Linked DNA regions of Cricetulus griseus. The protein of the gene in region 4 purifies or fractionates together with the protein of the main gene of each other region. This does not show direct contact. Links are inferred from orthologs where the notes say so. Each region holds a gene or a part of one and is shown on either strand. Other genes may lie near its edges.

Region 1 (3,206 bases), on a different chromosome or scaffold from region 4:
TTAAGGAAAAACAGAATATTTGATGGATTTGCTGCAGGTTTGTATTCTTTATCTGTGACTTGTTTACAGTTTGTAATTATAAGGTTTTCCTGGTTATTATTCAAAGTTCTGAATTCCTCTACTCTAGGCCAACCTTGCTCTGTAACCCTGGCTGTCCTGGAACTCTGTAGTCTAGGCTGGCCTCAACCTCAAGAGATCTGCACCAATTAAAGGTGTGCGCCACCACCACCTGACTTAAAGAAACTACTCTTAATGTTTAACAATAACTGGAATAAACCTGTAGTCAGATTGGGAATACAGATAAATTTTAAAAGGGAAAAAATGGTTAATCACTTCAAATAACCATTTAACAGCTTTTCTTTTTTAATATGAAAACTATTATTTCAGCACAGTATTGGATGCCTTCCTCTTTTTTTAGCTTTATCCTTGTCTCCCTTTATACATTAAGCCCTTTCTCTTGTAACAGTATTATTCCCCCAGTTTACCTGTCCTAGTGACTGCATCACTGTCAGCAGTGAAAAGTGAATGTTACTGTTGATGGTTAAAATACTTGTAATTTGTTCTTTAGTCAGCAAACTAATGTAAAAGTGCCAGCTTACATCCTTCCCAATTTGGAGATTCTTTTAAGAACAGTGTAAGTGGCCAGGTGTTGGTGGCACATGCCTTTATTCCGAAAACTTGGGAGGCAGAGGCAGGTGGATCTCTGAGTTCCAAGACAGCCAGGGTTGTTAAACAGAAAAAAACCCTGTCTTGAAAAACAAATGAAGTGATTATGCATCTACTTGTTTGTAAATTTTACTTCAGGTATTGAAATTACAAATCATGCAACTGCAACACTAGAAGGCAATCAGATTTTTAACAACCGATTTGGAGGCTTATTTTTAGCATCTGGTGTTAATGTGACAATGAAAGGTATGTTGGAGTCTCTGTTCCTCAATCAGAAGCCATTAATTCCTCCTTCCACTTTCCACATTAGTAGCAATTTTAAATAAAAATAGTTTGGAGTTTGGCTTAAGCTTGTTCTAGGAGTTGGGATATTTTACACAAGGAAAACCTATTTTACTTGCTTATATATTTGTATCCTTGGCTAGCTGTTAAAAATACTTTTTTGTTTTTACAGATAACAAAATAATGAACAATCAAGATGCCATAGAAAAGGCTGTTAGTAGAGGACAATGTTTATATAAAATATCAAGTTATACCAGCTATCCCATGCATGACTTCTACAGGTATATTTGTAAATTCCTTGAATGCAGAAGAGTGAAAGTTAGTGGTTCCCTTTAAATTGTCATTGCCTAATATCTTTGGTTCTGTTGTCTGAACTAAGCTGTAGAATAACTGGGTCAGGGGGATGCATTACTGTTAACTGATGTCATTTATTAAGTTACAGACCAGGCTGGCCTTGAACTCACAGAAGTCAACCTGTCTCTCCTTCTCAAGTGCCTGTTTGTTTTGAAAAACAGTAACATTCCCACTATTACTTACAGCTCAGGTGGTTAAACTTTCCTAAGACACACCATATTAGTTTCCTTTCAGTCTAGACTCTAGCCAGCTACCAAAATTCAGTTAAAGGCTGGCCATAGAGTAATAAAAATGCATGGTTTTAAATTCTTGTCAAGTTCAATAATACAATGTTTTGGTTTTTAGATGTCATACTTGTAACACCACAGATCGAAATGCCATATGTGTGAACTGCATTAAGAAGTGCCATCAGGGACATGATGTAGAATTTATTAGACATGACAGGTATGTAGAATACTTGTTGCTTTATTGCCCACAATCACTTCCCTGTGCTTCACTAATTTTCGGGTTTTCATTTTGCTTTAGGTTTTTCTGTGACTGTGGTGCTGGAACATTGTCCAATCCTTGTACATTAGCTGGTGAACCTACTCATGATACAGACACATTATATGACTCTGCTCCACCTATAGAATCTAATACGTTGCAGCACAACTGAATTCCTTCTCTAAAGAAAAAGTCCTGCCATTCTAACATCGTAACTTAAAACATTTTTGGAAGATTTAAAATCCTTGCCCATGCTACAGAAAGAGACTGTACTGAAAAGTGGATACACAAGGTCAGTTGACACTATGAAGCTCAAGCTACCAAAAAGAAAGTGGCAATATATTGACTCAGGATCTCCAAGCTGGGTGTTTTAGCATTACTGTGTAAAGACTTTTGAAGGGACAGAAGTGAAGAAAGTAAGCTGCAATTTTGTACAGATACCAACTTGTGAAAGAGCTGGTGTTTTTACAACTAACTAGCATTGAATGCAGTCCGACTTGCAGTAGTAATCTTCAATAGACAAGCAGCTTTGTTGCTGCCGTTATGGACATGGGTACCAATTGCTTTTGTAATATGGTAAAAATGTGAGCTAGCACTTCTGCATTGATTTTTTTTAACATGTATTCAGATTGAGAATATGATTTTAATGCTTTAATCTCATGTAGTTTGTTTTTAATTTCAAGCAAAAATCTTATTGTACTTGAATGTGCCCTGTTTTGTTAGCACACCTAGACTTGCTGTAACTGTACTCATGTCCCAGTATGTACGTTCTTTCTATGAAAGAGAAAAACACTAATCTTAAATTATATCCAGCAATGTTTCTGGTATCCTTTAAGAAAAGTTAAGACTATTATTTCCTTCCCTCTCCTGTGCAGCATTCAAAAAAAAAAAAAAACAAAAAAAAAAACAAAAAAAAAAAAACTTCACCCCTAGAAAACAGTTGAGTGTTTTAATGAGACTTCCTAGGAAGGGATGCACTGTAAAACAAAAGTATTCTTGTATCTCAGTTTTGTGAAAGGTAAAAACTACTATGTTTTAAAGTTCACTTTAGAAAGTCTCTTCAAAACAGGCCTGTATTTGAATTCTGTTCATAGTTTTTATTTGAACAGTTTAGACAAAATGGCTGGAAATTAAAGCAATTTCCTGCATTATGCTGAGACCAGTATATCTACAGCCCTAAACAGTTTCATAGCGCCCCCCATTTATGTGTATTGGTGACAGTGGGTATAAACAGCCTGAAAGTGTATGCATGTACCATAACATCTAGACTTAATATATTGTGGAGTATTCAATAACCATTATGTAGAAGGTAGATGAGAATTAAAAGGGTTTAATTTCCTAGAAAGAAAATGGAAAATGGTCATTTTTAAAAAATAAAGTTTATTAGATCATAATGTTGTCTGAATTTACCACCTTTGTCA
Region 2 (4,140 bases), on a different chromosome or scaffold from region 4:
AAAGCTGGAAAGAAATATCTGTCTTCCTAGAAGCACTTGCGTGGGCAGGAGAATTACTGAATCTGGCTAACCTGAGAAGGGTGTCTGATATGAAGATAGAATGTACGGCTGGGTTTGGAAAGTTTATTGACATCAAACCATTCATCAGTGGTTTGGGGGCTGTTTTGTAGCTACTGGTGTCTGAATATTGTATATGCTCAAGCTCCCATACTTTTCATGTCCAATCTGATGTGTTTCTTTTTAAAAGTCCCACTGGATTATGAACAAAATCCTAGGTTTCCACAGCAACTACCACCACCATTCCCTTTTCTTGGTTTTTCGAGACAAGGTTTCACTTTGCAGCTTTGGAGCCTATCCTGGCACTTGCTCTGGAGACCAGGTTGGCTTCGAACTCACAGAGATCCGCCTGCCTCTGCCCCCGCATTATTAAAGGCGTGCGCCACCAACGCCTGGCCCATTCCTTTGTTTTATAGAGATATATTTTTATTGTTTCTTTTGTAATTTGATGTGTACAATGTATTAGATCATATTTACCCCCACTGCTCCATCTCCCCACTCCCTCCTTTCTTTTAAAACATGTTGATTTAAAAATTATTTTATGTGTATAGTGTTTGCATGCGTGTATGTCTGTGAACCTTAGATGTGCAGTGCCACGGAGGGAGGTGACTCAGCGCATCAGATCTCGTGGACCTGAACTTAGAGCAGGTTGTGAGCTACTATGCGGGCGTTGGAAATTGAACCTTGGTCCTCTGGAGTAGCAGCCAGTACTACTAACCACCAACTTTCATCTCCAGGCCTAAAAGATCAAAACAACAGAAAACACCGAGTCTATTTGTTGCTGTCTATAGTTTCACGAATGCATGTTGAGCCATCCTCTGGAGCATGGCTACACCCCTAATGACAATGGCTCCAGCTCCCAGAAGTCATTTGTTCATTGCTCCTTAGCTTGGGATGAGGGTTCGGGGAGCTGCTTCCAGGCTGTCACGTGACATTTCTTTAGTAAGGCTCTTAGCCGCCCTGCAGTGCACTGTTAATTTGTGTTCTGTCTCGTTGTGAAGGGCCATCTTCACAGGCAGGCATTGCTTGGTAAGCTGCGGGCGCTCAACAGGTGTCAGTTGCTGTGAGCGAACAGTTTTTAAAAATTCCATCTAGTTAACTGCTTTCAGTCTGGCTTCCCTTGTCCTTCCCTCTCACAGGTCTAGGGTTCAGGGGGGTAAGGCTCTCCTCCTGGATTCACCCCTCCCACCGCCGCGTCGGCGAGCTGACGTCAGGCGCAGCCGGGGCGTTCCCGTCAGGCTCGCCCCAGAGCCTGGAGAGTCTGTTGCTCATGTCCGGGGCTGCCTGGGCTCCGCAGGTGCCGCCGAACGTCAGGCATCAAACGCCGACCTCAGCTAGCTTCTGGTCTCCAAGCCCAGAGCCTTGATTATCCTGCACGAAGCCAGCCAGCCGCGGCCCCGCCCCCGGGCGCTAGAGGTGGTTTCCTAGGGAACGACGCTGCGCGCCAGCCGCGATTGGACCCGGCCGCGCGTGCGCAGTGGTGTGTGTTGGTGGCGACCCCGCCGTGGTGCCGAGGCTTGCTAGCTGCACAGAATGGCCCATTTCTCAAGCGACGATGAGGCGATGCTGCAGGCGATGCTCCGGCAGCTGTTCCAGAGCGTGAAGGAGAAAATCACCGGCGCTCCGTCCTTGGAGTGCGCAGAGGAGATCCTCTTGCGGTTGGAGGAAACTGACGAAAATTTCCACAAGTAAAGTCGAGTTTAAGTTTTTAAGCAGACAAACCACTTGTCCAGGAAAGGTGGAAAATGATTCGGATACAGAGATTCATTTGATTTTTGTGAAAACAGCTAAGTGTGGTCCTGTTTTTCTATCGTTTGTCCCAGTGCCGAATTTATTTTTTCTTCATTTTTTTAAAAACTGGTTTTCCAGAGCCTCTTCCGCCTTTTTTTTTTTTTGTTACATCAGTTGTAAATCATTCGTGTTCTTTAAAGAACAATCTTAACCACTTAAAGGGATCCCCTTCACTTTATCTAGAAGTAGTGACCCCCAAGATCCCTATATGCCGATCTGTTACCTTCACTGCCTGCTGTAGTTAGCCACTCAGGACGGCAAGCGGCTCCCGTATATACTGAAGCAGGTCTGGGTGTCTGTGAAGGGGCAGGGCGCCCATGCAAATGCCCTGTGCCTATTGACAAGAAACAGGACGGCCAGCATGGAGGAACGGAGAAAAGAACCTGTCAGGTGCTCCCAGGATGGCCTTCAGAATATGAACGTTCCTTAGACTTAAAGATCCTTAGAGATTTGGCGTTTGTTCGTATACCAAGTTAAGCCTCTCAGTTACAAAGTCTATCTCCAGGGTCCCAGCTTACGATAGGTTATAACTTTAAAAAAAAATCCAGTGCTTTATTTCATTTGGTCTCACAGACATTTTTCTTGTGATGTCGCTTTTGTCTGCTTATCTACTTATTCATTCTGGTGCTGGGGATGGAACCCAGGGTCTCATGTATTATAGGAGGCATTTTATGATGCTTTTATTGACTTTTGGATAACTTGAAGTTCAGTTTTCCTGAAAATGGTGTTAGGGGTTCCTTCAGGCCTTTAATGTTGCTTGTAAAAGGTTATTTGTTTATTTGTTGTCTACGGGTTGTCCTTTACAATTTCCTCAGGTTACCAAGGGATTTTTTTTTTTAAATATAGAATCACGGTAGAGTTTCTAATTTCATACTAAGTTTTGAATCCTGATTGATGTGTTGACCAGGGTAGCCTGAAAGTTACTATTCTATTTCAATATCCCAAGTGATGCTGAAAACCCTATCCAGCTTTATTTTCTTAAATTTATGCCTTTCTTTATCTTTGCTTATTTCTATATTATGTCACTGCTAATCTCAATTATTGGACAATAACTGTCCTTTAGATACACTTGCAATCAGTTTTTTTAATCATAAGTTTATTATTTGAAAAGCACAATATAGAAATTGGGCATCTTCTCAAATAAAAGTGGGATTTATTAAATATCCATTTTGTTTGGTTTTTGTTTGTTTTTGTTTTTGACAGGATTGTGTAGCTCTTACTGGCCTGGAACTTGCTGTGTAGATAGGACTGGCCTAGAATTAACAGAGACCCACTTGTCTTTGCTTCTGGAGTGCTGAGATGACAGGTGCACACCGCCACACCTGGCACGTTTGTGCTTTAAAAACAGTAAATAAGTTAGTGTTTTTAGCATTGTATTTTGGGAATGTTTCCATTTTATCTAGATTTTCAAACTAATTTATAGAAAGATTTCCATTAACATCCCATTACCTTATTATTTCTAAGGTCTGCAATTGTATCTTCCTTTTATCATTCCACATTTTAAAAGGCTTATTTGGTATACTGAGTTTCTGGGTTACTAACATTTTTATAGGAGGATGGCGTTGGAGACAGTTGAGTCAGTAAATAATGTAATTTCAGGTATAATAAATCAAAGTGGGAGACTGTGTGGTCATTGGAGGAGAAACTGATACAGGTAATACCATCTTAGAGACTTTGTCACGTAGAGATGTGGAGATGCTAGCCTGTCCCTTTCTTCAGCAGCTTCTTCTGATTCTCTCTCTAAGCTGATTATACTTTTCTAGACCATCCATTCCTCCTCCATTCCTTTAATATGGCAGAAAATACTTGAGACCTCTAGAAAGGGAAGAGGGAGTGAATACATGTTTTATGTCCATATATGATCTATATCATATATGACATATATGTGTTGTTATAAAGTGTAGTTTTGTATCAATATTCTGAGAAAGTCACAAGTTCACAATGGAAAAACCATCATTGGGTGTTCTTGGGAAATGTAGGGTAATAACACTGAAGAAGAAGTGGAAACATGAATGTCCTCAATTTAGTGACCTATTCCTATGTAAATACAAAAGTTTTCATTAATGGAGGAAACACGGAGGCTAATGGCGGTGTCCCTTGAGCAGCTTAGGGATGTGTTTATTTCCACTTGTTCTTTCTTATGAGCAGAGAAACCTGTACTAGGTTCAAATGTGCATCTTTGAGGACATATTTTTTTTCTTTACCTTTTTTTTTTTTTAAGATTTATTTATTTATTATGTACAGTTTTCTGTCTGCATGTATCCCTGCAGGCCAGAAGAGGGCACCAGATCT
Region 3 (4,292 bases), on a different chromosome or scaffold from region 4:
ACAAACAAACAAACAAAACCAAAAACCAAAACAAACAACAACAAAAACAAACCAAACAAAAAAGATGTTCTAATCTTATGATATTATGTGTAAAAAGAGAGGCATGGTAGTTGATACATTGATTTTCCTTTATTTCTTTGTGTGTGTCCTCATATATAAAGTTATAATAAAATGTAGTGTATCAGTTTGGATGTCAATGCTGCATTCTCCTTAATTCTGAGCCTATGAAATCTAAGCTCAGCATGAAGTCAAGGATGATCTTGAATTCCTGGGCTTCCTGCCTCTACCACCTAACACTGGAAGAACAAGGAGACACCACCGCATCTGCTTTTTTCCTTTTAATTTGAGGCTCCTCCTCACACTGAGGTCCAAACTTGAATTTTCTGTTTTCCTGATTTAGCTCTGTGAGTAGTAAGCCACAGGGCTGGCAAACTTTTACTTATTTCATGCCCAGAAGAGGGTCCCACAGCCATCCCACAGGGCTCAGCCTCACACTGTTAAAGGTTGTGTTTGCTTTGTGTTTGAGACAGTCTTACACTGTGGCTCATTATGGCCTTGAACCTGAGACAATCCTCCTGCCTTAGTCTCCTCAGTGCTGGGATTGGAGGGATTAGCCACCATGCCTGGCACACTTACATTTCAACAAATGCACACAAGGGTTGTTCTTTCTCTGCATCCTTGCCTTCCCAACATTTGTGCATGTTCCCCTCCCTCTCCTCTTCTTCTGCCTTTCTTGATTTCTCCCCGGTTTTACTATGTTAGCATTTAACCACGTCCCAACTGGTTTCATACTTGAGATCTTTTAGCCTTGTTCTGCTTTCTGGGTACTGGAATTATAGGCAGGGCGACCACAGCCAGTTTATCATTTACTTTTCTGACAGTAGTCATCCTAAAGGGTGTGAGATATCTTTTTGTGGTTTGATTTCCTTTTTCCTAATTAGTAGGGATGTTGGTCATCATCTCACGAGCTTGTTGGGGATTTCGCTGTATTCTGAGACAAGGTCTCCTAGTGCAGGCTGACTTGAACTGACTATGTAGATGAGCGATCGTGATCTTGCCAAGAACTGGGACTGCAGAACTGCTTTAGTGAGACCAGTTTATGTGGTACTCGGTATCCAACCGAAGGCTTTGTGCACAATAGGCAAGCACTTCACCAACGGAGCTTCATCCCCAGGCTTAGTAAGCTCTTTTAAAAGGTACCTGGATTCTTGATGCCCGGTGGAGAGACCTGAGGCCTAAGTGATTCTCCACGACGCAGCTCTGGGCTTGTCTCCAACACTAGCTTGAGTAAGTTACAAAGAGGCTCATCTGCAGCGAATGGTAGACTAGAATCTTGTCTTTGGGTACTCCTGCCTGCATCAGGAGTACCCGGGCCATCCCCACCCGGGCCACCTCTCCAGCAGAGGCCCCGCCCTTGAGCGTGTGAACGCTCCCTTTACTTGCGTGGCCCTGCCCCTCCCGGGCGCACGCAGCAGCGTTTCTTGTCACGTGGCGCCGGGGCCGGATTTGAAGAGTGCGGTCATCCACGGATGACTGCCCAAGGCTGCTGAAAGGTGTTGCAAGGCGGGGGAAGCTGATTCTTGACTCAGCTCCGCGTGGGTCTTTCCGGTCACGTGCTGTACGGAGCAGCGGCTAGACACGTTATTGCTAGGCAACGCTTGCACGCTCTGACCTGCGCTGGATCCCTGCAGTGGAGGATCTGGGTGCCGCGTGTCGACATGGACCAGTACTGCATCCTCGGTCGCATCGGGGAGGGTGCCCACGGCATCGTCTTTAAAGCCAAGCACGTAGAGGTGAGGTCACGCCGCACGCGCTGTCCGAGGGGTACCCGCTGCCTCCTCTCTGCTTCAGGTCGCGAGCTGCGGCCTTTCGGTGCTGAGACCTGCCAGCGCGCGGGCCTCCGGGGTCTCTGGAGGCTTGTCCCGGTCCCTTCTGGGGCGATCCCGCTTCCAGCAGCGGGACTGCGGGATCGCGTCCCCTAGCGGACGGTTTACATATTCCCGACCTGGGGGCGGGTGTCTTGGGTATCTTGTTCCTGGTTCCTTGTTCTCTCCCTGCCCTTCCCTGCCTTCCGAAGGTCTTTGGCACTCTTTCTTGCACAGACTGGAGAGATCGTTGCCCTCAAGAAGGTGGCCCTGCGACGGCTGGAGGATGGCATTCCTAACCAGGCTCTAAGGGAAATCAAGGCTCTGCAGGAGATCGAGGACAGTCAGTATGTGAGTGGGGCTGGGTTTGGAGTGGACAAGACAGTGGGCGGCAGGTTCCAACACCGGAGCTTCTCGCCCGCGTTTGCTCATTTCCATCCCCACCTACCCACCCACATACACTTTAAAGGATTCCTTCTAATCCCCACTCTGCTCCTGCCTGATTACCCCGTATTTATGCTCCCAGGTCCAATCCCCGAATCCCCCCCTCTCATTTACTCAATCATCGCTCATACTCTCAGTCATTTTTCCCTCCAGATATTTTATGGTTTTTCTCCCTCCTTCTCTCCTTTTCTTCTTGTCTCCTCCCCCCCCCCACCTTCCTCCTTCCCTTCCTTCCCTGTGCTAGGCTGGTGCTGTGCCACTAAATTATGTCCCCAGCCATACTGATTTCTCAGTAACTTGTACCGGTTGAGCTCTACTTTGTTCTACAGATGTGCAAAGGTTTTATGTGTGGTCACCCTGAGTTCTCCCTGCTTTTCAAAGCAGGTTTCAGGAATTTGCTAAGCAAGGGCAATGTTGCATTTTCATTATTAGTAGATGGGTCTTTAGCTATCCAGTGAAAACTTTGGGTTGAGTGTCACTGGCAGCCTTCCTCTGGGGCCTCCTAAAAGTCCTGGCCTGTGCACAGCACCAAGGATACTGAGGAGGTCCAAGTCTGTTTCCTGAGAACATGTGTGTAATGGAATCAGTAGGAGATGACAAGACGACATACCTGGGGTGTATGTCTGTGTGCTAGTGAAGTGTGAAGTCTGGTGGTGTATGTTTCAGGTCTGACTGTGGATAAGTTTTTATTTCTTATTCCTTTATAATTTGTGTACTATCTGAATGTAGGTGTATGTTTTAATTTGTTCAATGATTATTTACTACCAAAAATCCCAATAAGGTGTTTCTTTTTTGTTGAAAATAGAAGGGCTTTCCAGATAGCCTGTGTGTGGGACAGGGGTGCAAGATCCATAAAGATGCTGGTGATTGCCAGCCACCTAAAGTTGCCATTTTAATTAACCAATTAATTAATATGTAATTTTATGTGTACGAACATTTTGCCTGCATCTATATGTGTGTACAGTGTGTGTGCCTGGTGCCCATGGAAGCCAGAAGAGGACATTAGAATCCCTGGAACTGGAGTTATGGACAGTTATAGCACCACTATGTGGGTGCTGGGAACCAAACCTGGGTCTTCTACTTCTAATTCTACAAGTACAGTTAACCACTGAACTTTCTGTCCAGCTCAGAGTTTTCATCTTAAAAAATACACCCAGGGGAATGGGGAAATGGCTCAGTGGGTGGTGTTAAGCAGGTGAATGTCAGGTGGGTGTGGTACCCCACCTGTGAGTCCATGTTTATAAGGTACTAGACAGGGAATCCCTGGAACAAGCTGGTCAGTAAAGCCATCATATTGGTGAAGCTCTGAATTCAGTAGAAGACATTGCTTCAACAGATAATGTGGAGAGCAATTAAAGAAGACGCCTGACTTCAGCCATGGTTCTCCACATGCTCATACACACACATACGTACATCCAAGCACAAAGACATAAATAAAGAGATTTTTCCCCAGCTGTTTTCATCTTCTTCACTAACTACTATTTCTTAGGTGTCCCTGCAGGGACTACCATCCATATAGTTTCCAGGAGCCTGTCAGGACAGGACAGAAATGTTCATCAGCTGGATGTTGGTTACACCTGTAATCCCAACATTTAGGAAGTAGAGGCAGGAGGATCCTAGTCATCCTATGCTCCATAGTGAGTTCAAGTCCTTTCCTCCCCACTGTTCCAAAAAGACACATATTTTCTTGTCCCTCCAGCCACCTCTGTTAGCTTTAGTGCCTTGTTCTTTCTGCTCTCCCTGCTCAGACCTGATTCCTTGACATCTGCATAACTGGCTTCTCCTCTGGCTAACTCCTGACCAACCCCCTTCTGAATAAAGTATACGTACTTCCTTTGCTCTCTCACAATCACATTGCCCACTGTTCCTGTACCTTCCAGAACCCAAACATAGATTCCCATCATTATTTGTTGGTCATTTATTCTCTGTTCTGTAAGCCCCTCAGAACCCTTGCATCCTAGCTCAGTGCTCTGTGCAGCCTGG
Region 4 (4,080 bases):
CTTGAGCAGGGTGAGCGGGCGAGCGGCTTACCGGGAGACGCTGGGTTACCCTACCCGCCTCGGTGTGTCTGCGAGCTGTGTGGCCGTTTCTGCGGATATGAGCGACAGGTGGCATCAGAGAGTCACACTTGCCTGCGGGCACCAGGGAAAGGCCTCAGAAACCAAACAAAGGCCACTGGCAGCCCAGTGAGGGGAGGCTCCAAGGGCACGGCTCCCCGAGACTTGGTCTCCAGAATCCGGGCCTCGGTTCCCGCAGCCGTCCTACCCGACGCGTGGGGGAGGGGTTCCCGGGGCCTCGGGCGGAAGCCGAGCACCCGCCGTGCGACCCAGCGCGGGGCTGTCGGGCGGGAATGCCCAGAACCTGGTCGCGGCGGCGGGTAGGGGGGCTGGGTGGCGCGGGAGAGGGCGGCAGAACGAGGGAGTTCCAGAGAGTTGCCGCCAGAGGAGCAGCCAGGGCCCGCGGTCTCCTTGGAGACGCGCTGGCCAATGAGAGCGGCGGAAGCTGTTTATAGGGGCGGAGCGTCGCCATGGCAGCAGGAGAAGCCTTCAGAGCGTCTACTTAATGCCGGTCCCCGGGCCGTCGGCGCTCACAGAAGCGCCGTCGGGCGAGGGGGGGGCGACGAGGGGCCCCAGCAGAGCCCTCGAGCTGGGCACGGAGAGCCGCGGGAGGAGGAAGGAACTTCTTCCAGAACCTTCCTCGGGCCGGGCCGCTCTGTGAGCCAGGTAAGGGACTGGGAGGGCTGCGGGCCGCGGCGTGGGAGGGCGGGCGTCAGGACCCGCGGCCGGCGGGCCGGCCGGTCATCCATCCCATCGGCCGCCCACCAAGGCGGCGGCACCCGTGACCGAGACCCGAGGGGCGTGGGGGAGGCCGCTGCCTGCCTGTCGGTAACTCGGCCGGGACCCTCGCTCCCTGCCTGCCTCCCTCCCTCCGAGGCTCAGGTGCCCTCCCCGCCTTAGCCGCCGCACCGCCGGCCCTCCTGCACCACCGGGTGCGAGCCCAGCTCCCGCTCTCTGGAAGAAAGTTAGACTGGGCCTCCCTGCCCTCCTCCCTCCCTCGGTGGGGCCGACGAGCCCGCCCTCGAAGGGCAGGTGGAGAGAGGAGGAGCAGGGGTCAGACAGAGCTCTGAGTCTCCTCTCCGTGACCGGGACACGGGTCCCCAGGACGAAGGTGAAGGGTGTCCCCTCCCCGGCACCGAGGTGAAACCCTCGCGGTAGGGAAGAGTGCTCAGCCCCGCGTTGCTCCCGCAGGCCCCGCATTCGTATTCGGAGGAGGCGGCCCCCGGGTCGCGGAATGGAAGTGAGCGTTCTGGAGGCTGTGTAGCCGGAGCCTCGGGTACCAGCGGGCCGGAGAACGCGGCGGGCCACCCGGCTCAGCCCGTGGATGTTGACCGCCCCCTCGGAGAGACCCCGCAGACATGGCGGAGAGCTGGCTGCGCCTCTGCGGAGCAGGGCCCGGGGAGGAGGCCGGGCCGGAGGGCGGCCTGGAGGAGCCGGACGCCCTGGATGACAGCCTGACCAGCCTGCAGTGGCTGCAGGAATTCTCCATTCTCAACGCCAAGGCCCCCACCCTGCCCCCGGGGGGCACCGACCCCCACGGTTACCACCAAGTGCCCGGCTCGGTGGCGCCCGGGTCACCCCTGGCGGCAGACCCTGCCTGCCTTGTGCAGCCGCACACACCCGGCAAGCCCACGTCGTCGTGCACATCTCGAAGCGCTCCCCCAGGGCTGCAGGCCCCGCCCCCCGACGACGTGGACTATGCCACCAACCCGCATGTGAAGCCACCTTACTCGTATGCCACTCTCATCTGCATGGCCATGCAGGCCAGCAAGGCCACCAAGATCACTCTGTCGGCCATCTACAAGTGGATCACGGACAACTTCTGTTACTTTCGCCATGCGGATCCCACCTGGCAGGTAGGGGAGAGGAAGTGTGGGTGGCGGCCATTCCCTCCTCACTCCCTGGTCTGGCTCTTGGCCAGATTCACATTCCAGATCCACAAAGCCCAAGGAGGCACCTGGCTTTGAGGTCAGACGGCTCATGAGAGGGCCCTGGCAAGTTCTGGAGCCAGGGCTTTGGGGTGCAGACGTTGAAGTTTTAGGAGAAGAGGGATTGATAGGGCACATTGGTCCTCCAGGCCCAGTGCGGCCTCCTATGAGGATGACACTATAAGGAACATTCTTGTCCCACGTCCCAGAATTCCTAGACACTGTTCTGCCCAAGGTTGATTTTGTCAGAACTGGACTCAAAAATGGAACCCAGGTGACCTTCCTGCCAGGTTCTGCACCCCGCCTTTTGCCTTCGGTCTGGAGAGTAGGGCAGAGATGAGCAGTAGGGGAGAGGTCATGAGGTCATCCTAAAGTCACTGACCCAGCTTCCCACCTCAACTCCTCCCCAGTTTCCTGCCTCCACCCTGCCCCCTCAGCCAGCCTCCCTTGGGGGCAATTACCTGAGCCAGTTGCTTCCCACAAGGGCGCTACCGCTGCTGCAAAGGCTTCAGGTTCCAAGTCTCTGGAACCTGGCACAGAGCAGCCAGTGGGCCCAGGCTGCCATGTAAACATCCCAGCCTTGCTGGCCAGAGGGGCACTTACTATCCACCTACCTGCCCCGCTAGCCTGCCTACCCTGGGCTCCTGGACACCGCCATGGTGTGAACACAACTAAGCAGCCAAACGTGAACAAGGCAAGATAAGGCCAAGTTCACACTGCTTTGAATGTCTTCCACTATCAGGGTCCAGGTGGTGGAGACAGAGGCCTCAGGTGGCCCAGTCTTCATTGAAGCACCCGTGGAGGCAGGGTGTAGGATCCAAGTCCTGAGGCATTCCAAATGGCCCTAACCCCGGGTCAGGAGACCCCCATCCTCTCCTTACTCAAGGCCTGTGCCAACTCAGGCCCCAGGAATGAGCCTTCTGCACTTGGCTGGGTAATAATCTACAGAGGTTTGGGTGGGAAGAGAAGACTGTGGGGGGTGAAGGCCTAGGCCAGCGGCTGGCTCAACAAACAAGGAGCCACTAAATATCCCACCACACACACCCATGCGGGCACGCAGGAGCGCAAGTGCGCGCGCGCGCGCGCACACACACACACACACACACACACACACACACACACACAATTCTTCCTCACCCAGCCCCCTCCCTTAACCCACCCCCTTCACAAACAGAGGGAACCAGCCAGGCAGAGGGAGATGGCTGTCCAGGCCTCCAGGCCGCGGGGGAGCTGAGGGCTTTGGCCAGGACCTGCAAGCAGCAGAGGGAGGGAGGGAGGGAGGATGACAGGGGGTGGCACTGAGAGCCACCCTGTGGCTCAGAGCTCGGATGACTGAGCAGGCAGATATCCCAGCAACAGAGAACAAAAGCCCCCCCCCAGCCTCCCCCCTCCACTCTGGGCTCCTCATGCCCTGTGGCTGGTGTCCCAGAGTCCCAGCTGCCTGGTCAGGGCATCGGGTTGATCCACCCCCCACACACACACCAGTCAGAGAAAAGATGCCCAGAGCGTTCAGGAGCACTGGGTGCCACCCCAACACCATTCCCCTGATCCCTCTGTGCTTTTTCTCTTGTTCTGTCACTGCATCCAGAATTCCATCCGCCACAACCTGTCCCTGAACAAGTGCTTCATCAAAGTGCCTCGAGAGAAGGACGAACCTGGCAAGGGGGGCTTCTGGCGCATTGACCCCCAGTATGCAGAGCGCCTGCTCAGTGGGGCCTTCAAGAAGCGGAGGCTGCCCCCAGTCCACATCCACCCTGCCTTCGCCCGCCAGGCCTCACAGGAACGCAACACCGCCCCCTGGGGTGGGCCTCTGACCGTGAACACAGAGGCCCAGCAGCTGTTGCGAGAGTTTGAGGAGGCCACAGGGGAGGGGGGCTGGGGCACGGGAGAGGGCAGGCTGGGGCATAAGCGAAAGCAGCCGCTGCCTAAGAGGGTGGCCAAAGTCCTGAGGCCTCCTAGCACATTGCTGCTGACCCAGGAGGAGCAGGGTGAGCTGGAACCCCTAAAAGGCAACTTTGACTGGGAGGCCATCTTTGAGGCTGGCACTCTGGGCGACGAGCTAAGCTCACTGGAGGCCTTGGAGCTAAGCCCCCCG
Region 5 (3,514 bases), on a different chromosome or scaffold from region 4:
GGTTACCTCGATGAAAAACTTGTACCAGTCTTTGAGAGGATCCCAGTTCCTAAAAGAACTTTCAAGGTTTTTAAAAGGTTTTTTTTTTTTTCCTGTATTAAGGAAGAAAGTAAGTCAGTATCTAGGAAAGAAACTCAGTATTTTCAAAACTTTCACACACTACACTTTGGGAGATGACACTTTTGACATTTGTAATTTATTCAGAATCCATAAGCATGTGAACAGAATGGGACTCAATTTTCTAAGAGTCACCTCTTGAAAATCCTGCAGGTAGTACATTTTCTGAAGGCCTCCACTTACCTCTCCCATATACTTCAAATGATTAATAAGAAACCACTTGAGATTATTCTTTTCCTCCTCAAGTGACACAGCTAAGTTTTAGAATTTGCAGGTGAAATTATGTTTTCTTATTATCTTTAACTTCCTTTTTTCTTAGAAAAAATGATTACATGGAATCATTAAGGAGTGAGAATGCTTTCTTTATTCGTCCTTCTCCTGGTGTACAGTCTTAGATATGTAGGGGCTGCTGTGGAAATCCACTTCCCATTTAGAAATTACCAAGCATGATTGGTTCCATAGGAAACTTCGGAGAGAGAATTGACTGTCTGTAAAAGAGCTTGGACATTTCTTTATAATTAAAAAGGGCTTCTAGTGTTAGCTACATAAAAAATTCCTATCTCTTCAAAGATGAAAGATGTTCAAAGGTAGCTTCCTAGAATGTTAGAGTTGGTAAGATTGAGATCATTTATCACTGCCCCCTCTGCAGACAAATAAACTGAAGTTCAGATAGGAAGAAAATATGAAAACTAAAGCAACTTGCTTTCCACTGCCATATTTTCATACTGACCTGAGGGTCATATAGACTTCATATATTTATTTGCAGGGCATGCATATCTGTTATGTCCATTGAGAATTGCACGAAGACAGTCCATCTGAAAGATGGAATTACTGAAGTCCCTTGACACATGTTTTTCTTAAGCTTTAGTACAATATCCACATTCATAGGACTGCTGGAATTAACACATTTTGTGTTGGTATCTTCAGCCCTTCTTCAGCATTGAAGGTCCTATTCTGGGTAAGATGAGTAGCATGGTACTAATAAGCTGAGGTAATAGAATCCTAAACCATAACAGAAAATTGAAACCCTCTTACTACTTTCTAGGATAATTCCTTCTTAGTTATTCATAGATATTATTAATGTGTACAGAGTTTTTTGTTGTCTCCCATGTGACATAACTTAGTACATGGGCTGAGTTCACTGTACTCCAAAAAGAGAAACAGAACCATATATTGCATGTGTTAGTATTTATTACCTTGTATGTATTTATACAGTTCATTTGATTGTATTTAATACCAACCTTAAGTTGTTTTATTTTATTCATTGTTAAATGAAGCTACTATATATTCAGTGCACACAAATTAGCATAAACCCCTTTATCTTTTAATCTAAATGTGAAATTAACATGCCTATTTTTACTTTAGTAACTAAAGATGTTTAGTTTGAGAAAGTATAGCAATGATAAGACTCTTACATATATTTTAAATTGTATTTTTCAGATTTTTAAAAAATATTCTATAATTGTTTGTATCATTGTCTTTAACATTTATGCTTTGATATTTTGTAGTTATTTGTGAAGGGTATAGTTTTTTTTAGTGTAGATTATTTTCTGAAAACTATTAACTCTTTTATTGAAAAGGTATTTTCATACAGTATATTCTGATCACACTTTTCCCCTCCCCCAACTCCTCCCAGATTCGCACCTCCCCACCAACCCAATGCCACATCTTCTCTCTCTCTCTCTCTCTCTCTCTCTCTCTCTCTCTCTCTCTCAACAAACAAGAGTACACAAAGAAAGCAAAGTGAGACAAAATGTCTAAAGAAATAGCACTGAGTACTTTTTGTGTCAGGCATCTACTCATGGACATGCAGTCTACCCGGAAGTGTGGTTATTCTGCCCAGGGAAGAGACTCCATTGGAGAGGACTAATTTTTCCTTTTTATGCGGATACTGATTGTAGATAACTTCTTGGTTAGGGCTTCAAGCCTGTGTCTGTTTGCTCTTTGTACTGCTGGGACCCCAACTAGCTTGCACTTGTAAAGGCCTTGTGAGTGCTGCCACAGTCTCTGTGAATTCATGTTTATCAGTCCTGTTGTGTCAGGAAGACACTGTTTCCATGAAGTTGTTCATTTCCTCTAGAGATTAGAAACGGTAGTTGCAGGATAACAGTGAATGTAAAGAGTGGAGATGAAGTGCCAGAGAAAGTAAAGTACCAGGATACTTGATACCCAAATGCCAGGCTTGGCTACATGTGGGGGTGAAGTTAAGAGAACAGTAAGCACTGGAAATGTTTATCATTTGAAATTTCAAAGATATAAGCAAATGAAGTGTTTCTGAATGTGTCTTCTTACATTTCTGTAGTCCTATAACTTCTTGTGAGCTTTTTACATATTAAAAAAATTAAAGCATCCTATAGTGTAAGCTGACATCAACTGGAAATGAAAAAATCAGATGAATTTAATCAGAACCGACAAAGAAGAAAAGGGCAACATGGAGTGGTCAGCAGTGTCATTCTGCAAATAGGTCAAAAAGAGACAAGGGCTGAAGGAGCCTTTTGGCCTGATATTTACATTTGGTCACAAGTGACCTTATTAAAAGCCACTTCACTGAAAGGCTAAGGGCAGAGCTTGACCAGACTTCTGGGGAGGTGCAAAGTGAGTATGTGAAGAGCTGGCACAGTCACTGAGGAAGGGAGAGCTGCTAGACAGACATAAGTTGTGTTTTAGCTCAAGACCTTCTTGGTCTTAAGGAAGGAATCCACAGAAGTGTCTTCAGATATGGAGGATAATCACTAGTTATCCATGGATGGGAAGTGGTCCCTGGTCATGGTAGATCTCATCTTTCCTCATAGCAGCACATACATGAGTGTTTAAATACAAGGACAGAATTTGTGAACAGATTTCTTGCAGCAAACGGACCTGTTGATGAGTTGGAGATGAACTCCTATAGAGAGTAAATAAACTACAGTACAGAAACAAGCTAAGGTTCTCATTTAATTTGGAGAGGAAATCAATCTCTTTATTGGTGGGAATAATATTTCATAAAAAAACAAAATTTAACAAGTTTCAAAGGCTGGACATTATTAATATATATATTTTTAAATATTGGTATTAAAGATAACAATCGTGATTTAAACAAGCTAGTAAATCTCTCCTTTTTTCTTCTTTCTAAAGCCGAACAACAACTTATCCTTATACAGAAACACAGATGTACAGCCAAAACACTGGAGGAAATTACTTTGATACTCAAGGAAGTTCAGCACAGGTGACAACCGTGGTGTCCTCCCACAGTATGGTGGGTACTGGTGGTATTCAGATGGGTGTCACGGGAGGACAGCTCATCAGCAGCTCTGGAGGAACCTATCTGATTGGCAATTCAATGGAGAATTCTGGTCACTCAGTGACACACACAACCCGGGCCTCCCCAGCGACGGTAAGTGCTTGAGTTTTTATTTGC

Evidence for each region.
Region 1: the proteins of Foxj1 (region 4) and Fbxo11 purify together in Homo sapiens (affinity purification with mass spectrometry; 3 studies listed by BioGRID and IntAct, counting the BioPlex papers as one, with this or other methods). This does not show direct contact. The link is inferred for Cricetulus griseus from reciprocal best matches to the Homo sapiens genes FOXJ1 and FBXO11.
Region 2: the proteins of Foxj1 (region 4) and Tbc1d32 purify together in Homo sapiens (affinity purification with mass spectrometry; 3 studies listed by BioGRID and IntAct, counting the BioPlex papers as one, with this or other methods). This does not show direct contact. The link is inferred for Cricetulus griseus from reciprocal best matches to the Homo sapiens genes FOXJ1 and TBC1D32.
Region 3: the proteins of Foxj1 (region 4) and Cdk20 purify together in Homo sapiens (affinity purification with mass spectrometry; 3 studies listed by BioGRID and IntAct, counting the BioPlex papers as one, with this or other methods). This does not show direct contact. The link is inferred for Cricetulus griseus from reciprocal best matches to the Homo sapiens genes FOXJ1 and CDK20.
Region 5: the proteins of Foxj1 (region 4) and Rfx3 purify together in Homo sapiens (affinity purification with mass spectrometry; 3 studies listed by BioGRID and IntAct, counting the BioPlex papers as one, with this or other methods). This does not show direct contact. The link is inferred for Cricetulus griseus from reciprocal best matches to the Homo sapiens genes FOXJ1 and RFX3.

What each region holds. Positions count from the first base shown.
Region 1 is NC_048598.1:89,599,619-89,602,824, reverse strand, and holds the end of Fbxo11 (F-box only protein 11), read left to right. Parts: coding exon 1-37; intron 38-804; coding exon 805-912; intron 913-1,120; coding exon 1,121-1,229; intron 1,230-1,647; coding exon 1,648-1,746; intron 1,747-1,827; coding exon 1,828-1,957; 3' UTR 1,958-2,706; downstream 2,707-3,206. UniProt on the Homo sapiens protein: Substrate recognition component of a SCF (SKP1-CUL1-F-box protein) E3 ubiquitin-protein ligase complex which mediates the ubiquitination and subsequent proteasomal degradation of target proteins, such as DTL/CDT2, BCL6, SNAI1 and PRDM1/BLIMP1.
Region 2 is NC_048595.1:253,180,161-253,184,300, forward strand, and holds the start of Tbc1d32 (protein broad-minded), read left to right. Parts: upstream 1-1,339; 5' UTR 1,340-1,590; coding exon 1,591-1,745; intron 1,746-4,140.
Region 3 is NC_048596.1:282,039,839-282,044,130, forward strand, and holds the start of Cdk20 (cyclin-dependent kinase 20), read left to right. Parts: upstream 1-1,485; 5' UTR 1,486-1,718; coding exon 1,719-1,793; intron 1,794-2,102; coding exon 2,103-2,216; intron 2,217-4,292. UniProt on the Homo sapiens protein: Required for high-level Shh responses in the developing neural tube.
Region 4 is NC_048600.1:128,919,093-128,923,172, reverse strand, and holds the start of Foxj1 (forkhead box protein J1), read left to right. Parts: upstream 1-1,271; 5' UTR 1,272-1,415; coding exon 1,416-1,913; intron 1,914-3,573; coding exon 3,574-4,080. UniProt on the Homo sapiens protein: Transcription factor specifically required for the formation of motile cilia. Acts by activating transcription of genes that mediate assembly of motile cilia, such as CFAP157.
Region 5 is NC_048596.1:33,571,431-33,574,944, forward strand, and holds part of Rfx3 (transcription factor RFX3), read left to right. Parts: intron 1-3,231; coding exon 3,232-3,490; intron 3,491-3,514. UniProt on the Homo sapiens protein: Transcription factor required for ciliogenesis and islet cell differentiation during endocrine pancreas development. Essential for the differentiation of nodal monocilia and left-right asymmetry specification during embryogenesis.